Bombyx mori: one gene and its partner. The protein of the gene in region 1 interacts with the protein of each later gene in a pairwise test. Links are inferred from orthologs where the notes say so. Each region holds a gene or a part of one and is shown on either strand. Other genes may lie near its edges. The genes, in order: disks large 1 tumor suppressor protein and ATPase family AAA domain-containing protein 3A homolog.

The links.
Region 2: the proteins of disks large 1 tumor suppressor protein (region 1) and ATPase family AAA domain-containing protein 3A homolog interact in a two-hybrid assay, tested with the Caenorhabditis elegans proteins (3 studies listed by BioGRID). The link is inferred for Bombyx mori from reciprocal best matches to the Caenorhabditis elegans genes dlg-1 and atad-3.

What each region holds. Positions count from the first base shown.
Region 1 is NC_085118.1:7,817,893-7,821,719, forward strand, and holds part of disks large 1 tumor suppressor protein, read right to left. Parts: intron 3,310-3,827; coding exon 3,229-3,309; intron 2,227-3,228; coding exon 1,978-2,226; intron 1,638-1,977; coding exon 1,496-1,637; intron 982-1,495; coding exon 716-981; intron 1-715. UniProt on the Caenorhabditis elegans protein: Essential multidomain scaffolding protein required for normal development. Recruits channels, receptors and signaling molecules to discrete plasma membrane domains in polarized cells. Required for proper embryonic elongation.
Region 2 is NC_085107.1:9,466,324-9,470,651, forward strand, and holds the start of ATPase family AAA domain-containing protein 3A homolog, read right to left. Parts: upstream 3,117-4,328; 5' UTR 2,284-3,116; coding exon 2,088-2,283; intron 1,622-2,087; coding exon 1,467-1,621; intron 1,370-1,466; coding exon 1,257-1,369; intron 1,129-1,256; coding exon 922-1,128; intron 787-921; coding exon 629-786; intron 1-628. UniProt on the Caenorhabditis elegans protein: Essential for mitochondrial network organization, mitochondrial metabolism and cell growth at organism and cellular level. Important during development for the up-regulation of mitochondrial activity during the transition to higher larval stages.

The DNA of each region.
Region 1 (3,827 bases):
TTCTCAGTGGACCGCGATTCCAATTCGGTGGTAGATTCAGCGAAGTACTACTCTTGATAGGGTCAATGTTAGCAATTCTTGCGGGTTGAGCCCGTGAAGATCACGTACCGGTCCACGCGTAATTGGAATAGTCTCTTAAGCTACAAACGATTGGGTAGGAAAAAATGCAATCATTCCAAGAACACGTTAAATAATAGTGTGTATAGTGAGATGGAGAAAGTTTAAAACAATTAATGTTTTAATTGAAAAAATTCGAAATGGGCCACAATAGCAGTATATTGAACTATTGATCATGCAAAAATATGCATACTAGTGCAGTTTTCCTAGACTTATCTATCTTGAGTACTAGTTGCATGATACCAGTCCTGTTTTTTTCTGGTGTATAGTAATCACGCGTTTTTTTTTTACAGCTTGGATGGGTGGACGAGCTCACGGACCACCTGGTGTTAAGTGGTTACTGAGGCCCATAGACATCTATAATGTAATGCAAATGCGCCACCCACCTTGAGATATCAGTTCTAAGGTCTCAGTATAGTTACAACAGCTACCCCGCTCTTCAAACCGAAACGCATTACTGCTTCACGGCAGAAATAGGCAGGGTGGTGGTACCTACCCCTGCGGACTCGCAAGAGGTCCTACCACCAGTACCTGATGTCTTGATGTGGGCAGCGACGTTTACCTTATGTCTATGAATAAGACATGGACGGAACAGTACCTTCAGGGCTTTGGCGGCCTGTTCGTGTGTGGCGTGCGATATGTCAAGATCGTTGACTGCGAGCAGACGGTCTCCTCTCCGTAGAGCGCCGGACCTCTCCGCAGGTCCGCCGGCCAACAGGAAAGAAACGTAGATGCCGTGCCCGTCTTCGCCACCGACGATGTTGAACCCCAGGCCCGAGGGACCTTTCTCCAGCTCCACCACGCGTACCTCCTCGCCGCCGTCCGTTGCGTCTTCGCGTCGGAGAGAATTTGCTGCGCTCGACGCTGTTTTTATTTTTATTATTAAATTCCTTGTTAAATGTGTACATTTTTTTTACAATGTCTAAAACTTAAAATGAGTCGACTATTATCAAAGCCGGCAATCTGACTTTTGGACAATGATTGGTAAATCAGAAAAACGAATTATTGACTTTGTATTCCATTGGCTGTCACAAAACTCTTCGGAACGAAATCTAAGATAAATAACAGGTTAACTATTAACCTTTATTTAGTGAAGGTTTTGAACCGTATTCTTTGAAGGATACGATTATATTCAAATCAATCTGTATTGACATATCAATAAAAATATTTTGTCCAAATTTTAATGCACAGATTGCCACCTTTGATAATAGACGACTCAAATAGTTTATTTATTAAAAAAAATTGTTACTGTGGTGCCAATCGTAACCAGTTAATTATAGCTGAATAAGTAAATCAATCGTGTCCGATGTTTGATAGATTTTTAATATTTATATCGTTAGATTATATAGGTACTAATAGTAATTTAATGATGTCTTACGTGTGTTAGCTCGAGAAGTGCGCGGCGAGGGTTGTCCGTGTCTCGGCCCTGGTACCAAAACTAGCAACACGCGTTCTCCTGTTGCCTTTAGAGCGGCCACGGCATCCTCGTGTGTCACGTTATCCAAATTGACATCTCCGTTCTGTTTATTTATTTCCAATATTATAATCGACAACAATAATTAGATGTGTTGTTTTTTATTTAACTGGTGGTAGGACCACTTGTGAGTCCGCGCGAGTAGGTACCACCACCCTACCTATTTCTACCGTGAAGCAGTAATGCGTTTCGGTTTGAAGGGTGGGGTAGCCGTTGTAACTATACTTGAGATCTTAGAACTTATATCTCAAGGTGGGTGGCGCATTTACGTTGTAGATGTCTACGGGCTCCAGTAACAACTTAACACCAGGTGGGCTTTGAGCTCGTCCCCCCATATAAGCAATAAAAAAAAAATGCAGTTTAATAAAACAGGCTGGATTACTTACAGAAGTGTTTTTGACCATAAGCAATTTATCACCAACTCTTAAACGTCCATCTTGATGCGCAGCGCCGCCGGCCATGATTTTGGTAACGTAAATGCCGTTGTCACCGGGTATGTGTTGGTTACCGAGTCCGCCTGCTATACTGAAGCCCAAGCCAGAGCCACCTTTTATAAGTTCTATTTCCACAGATTCCTCTTTGTTTGACACTTGTGACACGTTTAGGGTATCTTCTATAGCTCGACGTCGCACTTTCTGTAAATTGTAAGCAGTGTAAATACCTATGTATTCACGTAATTAATCATCAATAAAGAAACACATAAAAGCTATAATAAACAATAATTTTAATTTTCAAAAATATTTTTAAGTATATGAATGTTCATTTGAAGTATTCAGAAATGCAATACAGGTGCAAGAATTTAATGATATGAAATTCCTTGTGAATGATGACGTGTCATTAACGTTTTTATGATTTACTGGATTTTTTTAAGTGGGAAACATTGCAGTTAGTCTGCAGCCCTTTTTAGGGCCTGTGCACACCACGTATTTTAAACGCGCCGTCGACGCTCTTTCGTAGCGATACAGGCGCGATACGCACGCAAGTCAGACGCAGCCTGTAGACCTTTGCACACCTGTATAAATTAAAATAGACGTTTGAATCGATACAGACGCGATGCTAACGCGTGTTTGTATCGATACAGACGACAACAAACCGCTCTGTAGGATAAAAGCGCGCCGTCGACGCTCGTTTTGGAAACGCGCGCTTAAAAAACGTGGTGTGCACAGGCCCTTAGCTTCATCAGAACAGATGAAGATCGAAGGTTCAATCTGGAGGAAAACGTTTCCTGACACCTGCCTGACTGAATATATCAGAATACATAAGAATTCATACTACTTATAACATTCAAGGCATATGCTTAGGAAATTATTATGAATATTTCTGTACATTATTGTTCTGGTAGATGATATATTATTGCCATTTTAACTATGGGAACAGTTTGTATACAATGGTGGGACCAACCTGTCTGGCATTTTAATATACCCTATTACCACCACTGTATGTAAGAACAAGAATGTCCTTGGTCACAGAGGTCATTTCACAAGACCTGACCTGACCTTCATCAGTTGCCAGCAACAATTCTAGGAAGCTCATTTATGGAAACCGCTTTTCTTATCAATATGGTTCCGGCATAGCATTCATGTAGGTGATTTCTAAGAATAGGCATGATTCTAAGGTTAGTAATAATAATTACTTACCAATCTCACAGTACTACCAGCCTTTTTCAGTGCATCAACCGCTTCAGCATGTGTCACATTTTCTACATTCACATCATTCACCTATAAAAAGAACTTAAATTGGTCATTATTTTACTATTATACCTATGTCATAATAATTTGGCCAGCTTCTGCAGCAAAGCCGTTGTGTGTTCTTGTTTAAAAAGCAGTCATTAGTTTTTATTTCTACAAGGTAATGTATATATGAGTCGTCTATTATCAAAGGCGGCAATCTGTGCATTTGGACAAAAAAAATTTATTGATATGTCAATACAGATTTATTTGAATATAATCGTCTCCTTCAAAGAATACGGTTCAAAACCTGCATTAAATAAAGGTTAATAGTTAACCTGTTATTTATCTAAGATGTCGTTCCGAAGAGTTTTGTGACTGCCAATGGAATACAAAGTCAATAATTCGCTTTTCTGATTTACCAATCATTGTCCAAAAGTCAGATTGCCGCCTTTGATAATAGTCGACTCATATATGATAAAATTGTATAATGAATAGGATGGTAATTTAGGATTTATTTTATGTTGAAAGTAGCTGTCTTAGTAGATGATGGGTACTTTAGATTATTT
Region 2 (4,328 bases), on another chromosome or scaffold:
TGGAGTAATTTCTCTCATAACCTCTTTGAACTCTTTAATTTGACTCTTAAGACAAATAATCGTAAAAATGTTGTTTATTCATAATTATTTATATGTTTATTGAAAATTATATTTGTTTTAACGTATTTATTTGTTATTACAATACCCTAAAATTAGACACAGACAAAAAGTAAATTTTACTTACTCTTGAAGACTGAATTTTTTGTCAGTACGCTAAAATTTGTAGAAAGATAAATGAGTGTGTGATGGATTAAAATACAAACAACCTTCATAACAATCAACATTTCTACCTGTTATTCACACTGCAAACTATATCAATCCTGTCATGTGTTTAAAAATCATTTTTACGTAAAGTGTTATCATTTTGTTTTTAAATACAATTAGTTACTTTAGTAAGAAAATTTGAGTTATTAAATAATTCTTGGTACATTAACCAATTCATATTTGTACAAACTGACACAACCAACATCAGATTCATTAATTTAAATATGTATAATAAATATGATAAATATAATAATATGTATTAAATAAAATTATCTGCCAATTATACTAATGAATGAAAAACTAGAAAGAATAATAACTTTTTACATAAAGATGATTAAAATAAATAGAAATTTATGTTTTTTACCAATGCGAGCCTCAATGAATCTAGCTGCAACCGATGTGGCTCCCTTTGCTGAATAAACACCAAGTGCCAATAATGACAAACCCCCTGCAGCAGCTAAAGTTTTATCCCAATCTGTCACTAATGCATTCAGACCAGAACCTACTACGCTCCCAGCTGTCCTATTAACATACAATAATTACAATACATTACAATCAATTGTGTAATGTTTGTATGATAAAGTTAGTGTATGGAAAAGTGAAGTTATACAAAAATTAACGAGGTAAGATATCTAAAATCCAATTTCATAAACTCACTTTATACTTTCTAGAATAGTAACTCTGTTCTCAGCAGCCTTTAGTCTAATTTGTTCAAGATTTATGTCTCGATTTTCTCTGTCAGCCTGCGCTTTGGCTCGAGCTTCTGCTTCTATTGCTCTCAATTTATTTTTCTCTCGCAGCTCCATTTCATGTTCTATAGTAGCTCTCCTTAAGGCTTCCTGTTTTGCTACACTCTCTTCTTGTCTAAAATAAAGGTTGTTTAGTTAATTTATAATATTAGGGGACTGATATTGTGATTTTAATCTAATTGATATCAATGTATTTTATATTCTAATGAAAAGTATACTCAAATTATCTTTCAACTGTCTTACTTTCTGAGAATTTCTTCTTGAGATTTCTGTTGTTGTACAAGTTGTTCTTCGTAACGTTTTTTAGCTAATTGATCTTGGTATTGAGCTCTCATTTGGTGCTGTTTTGTTTCTTCCTATAACAGATGAGAATTTATTATTATTAAATGCCTCTAAAAGAAACATCTTCATGAACTTTTTACCTCTTTGACTGATCTATAAAATTAAAGTAACCTGTAATGTTTTTCGTCTTTCTTCATAATCAACTTTCTTTTGTTCTACTTTAGCTTGTTCAATGGCTGCTTCATATTCCTTAATCTTGGCCATTTGCTCCTGTTGTCGAGTACTTTCCTGAAGTTTACTAAGCTCCAAAGCATCTTTTGCATGTCCTAAAAGAGTAATTCCAATCAAATAACATATTATGCTGTACTTTATCAAATAGATGCAAGCAGTAGCAGCAGAAACACTTTCATATATTATAAGGGAGTGATCAACATGCAAAAATGATATACACCATAAAACAAACGACTATCAGATTGTTATTTAAGTTCAATAGTTGTTCACTGTTTAACTTATCATGCATTTTATACCTGTTTCGCTTTGCTAATTTTTGCGATAAGTGTTTAAAATACACAGTGAATTTAGGGCTGAGTATAGTGGAAGATACATATGAAAATAAAAACGGAAGTCTTTTGTTAGGCTATCCACTTTTAATACTTTGATGTACATCATCAATCAAACTAAATGAATTCATATCAATTGCCGTAGTTCTTAAAAATCATTCTAAAATGTAAGGTTATGCGGTGGCATTATGCAATAGCGCGCAACGTGATTAAAAGTTATAAAATATCTTACTTGATCGTTCCAGCTCTTTTGCAGCCGATGCAGCTCGCTCTAGGGCACTTGAATCAAACCGGTAGGCTTCCATGGCTTTCCTCTCTGATTTAGAAAGGTTAGTAGAAGGTGCGGCAACACCAACCCCATCGGCTGGTGGATCGTCCGAAGGAGGAGGTTGTGGAGGTTTTGAACTGTACCCAAATAGCCACGACATCGTGACTTCAGTAAATAATTTTCAAGTTGTGTTAGTAAACTACTTTCATAAGAAACACGATTGTTCACAAAACTGATGATATCTAGTAGAGTAGCGGCTATGGAAGGCACGACAGCCGGAGTGGTCAAACCACAAACTGTCAAACTGAAAGTAGGCAGTAATTCTATTTTCCAACAAACAAGGCCAAGGTATCACACCATACAGCCTAATCTTTTATATCTTCTGTTGATATAAAGAATGAGGAAGTTTCCAATCGCTTAAAAACAAAAAATAATTATATAAATTTAAAGACAATAAAAAATATTAAAGATAGTAAAAAAATACGGCGGAACGCACTAAAACTGGACGAACTATAATTACCTCCGCACGGAGACTCGTGTTTTACGCTCGCATTACTATCTCAGACGTGGTGTATGTGGGCTTAGACTTTTTGACTCAAATTCGTTCTATACAAGCGCAGAAATAAGATACCTACCTACTTAATCTTTTATCCGCCGTACTTTTACATCTTATTTATTACCGTTTTATTTGTATTTTGGTAAGAAACTATCTACGGAAATACAATACCTCAACTCGCTTAGTACTAAATGAGTCAGTGCAATCCAACTATAATATTTTGTATAACTACCTATTATAGTACCATTAAACACCTTAAAATAGATTTCTGTTTGTTATTTACCGTTTTATCCTTTTAAAGAAATAAGCAAAACTACGAATCGGCACAAAAATCTCTCGTGAGCTTGACCGCCTGGAACCGTACCCGCCCGACCGGTGGCAACTCGGTGACCCATCGTAGATATTGAACAAACAATAAAATCGATATCAATATTTGTAGTAAAATATTTATTTAGGTACTCTAGATCTAGATTTAAGGTAAGTATTCACTAACGGATCAATGAATCGAAGATCTAATAAAGTTATTAAAATGTTTTACAGATTTGCCCAAGAAAGCTAATGTGACGACGCCATTGGCTATATGCAGGTGTAAAGAGAAGGCCAACTATGCACGGTAAAAGCTTTTTTTTTTCGGGCCGAGGCCCGAACCTCTTACGTTCTCTCCGCGCCTAGGGAGCGCGCGGGGTATGTGGGACTTGACGATCTGCAAGGTGTTGGGAGCAGACCGCGGGCCCAAGGAATTTTAGGGCCCACCCACTAAACGACTCCCCTGCACTCTTACACCTGACGTCCGATCTCCATCCGGGGTCAAAACCCGGTCAGAGTAGGGGGTTCCCGCGGTCAACACTACAACCAGACACGCGGCGCCACCCCGAGGACGCCCGACCGACGGGTCGTCGAGGCGATTGTCGACGAACAACGACATCAGTCTCCGCGGTACGGCGGCCCTGCCAGACCGCCCGGGCGATGCCGCTATTGTTACCTCGCTGGGCCAGAACCAGCCTGCCAGGTCGGAGCGCGATACACCGCCGATCGGGTTGCTCTTCCACAGTATGTTCGGCGACGACAGCGACGACGAAAATGCGGACCGCGTCGCAGTCCGCAGCCGCCGACGCGCACCCCGTCCTCCTGGTGCCAGCGCGCTAGAGTGACGGTAACGTACGGCGCAGCCTCAATCTCCTTAGGTCGCCCCGTGACCATCACCGGGAGGAGACTGCCTCCTCATAGGGGCCGGAGCTGGACAAACGCCCTCCTCCGAACCCCGGCTCGGCGGCGGCGGCACGACGCCGAGAGGGAAGATGAGCTCTCCCTCTCCCGTTCCACCGCCTCCTGCGGGATGGTGGACTCGCAGAAGTCGAGCATCGCTTGCCAGGACTCGTCGCTGCCGAGCATCGTAGCCACGACGGTCGGAAGCGACAAGTCCGGTCCTATTTTTGCAAGGAGGACAAGGCGCCGCTCCGCGATAGCGGGGCAGTACGCGACCGTGTGCTCCGCGGTGTCCTCGTTGCAGCCACTGCAATGATGGCACTTCGGCGTCGGCTCCCTCCGGGCAACGAGGTGCAGGTAGCGACCGAAACAACCGTGTCCCGTGAGCACCTGCGTTGCTCGGAAGGTGAGACGTCGCCGGTCGCTCGACGGTCCGTCGCCTG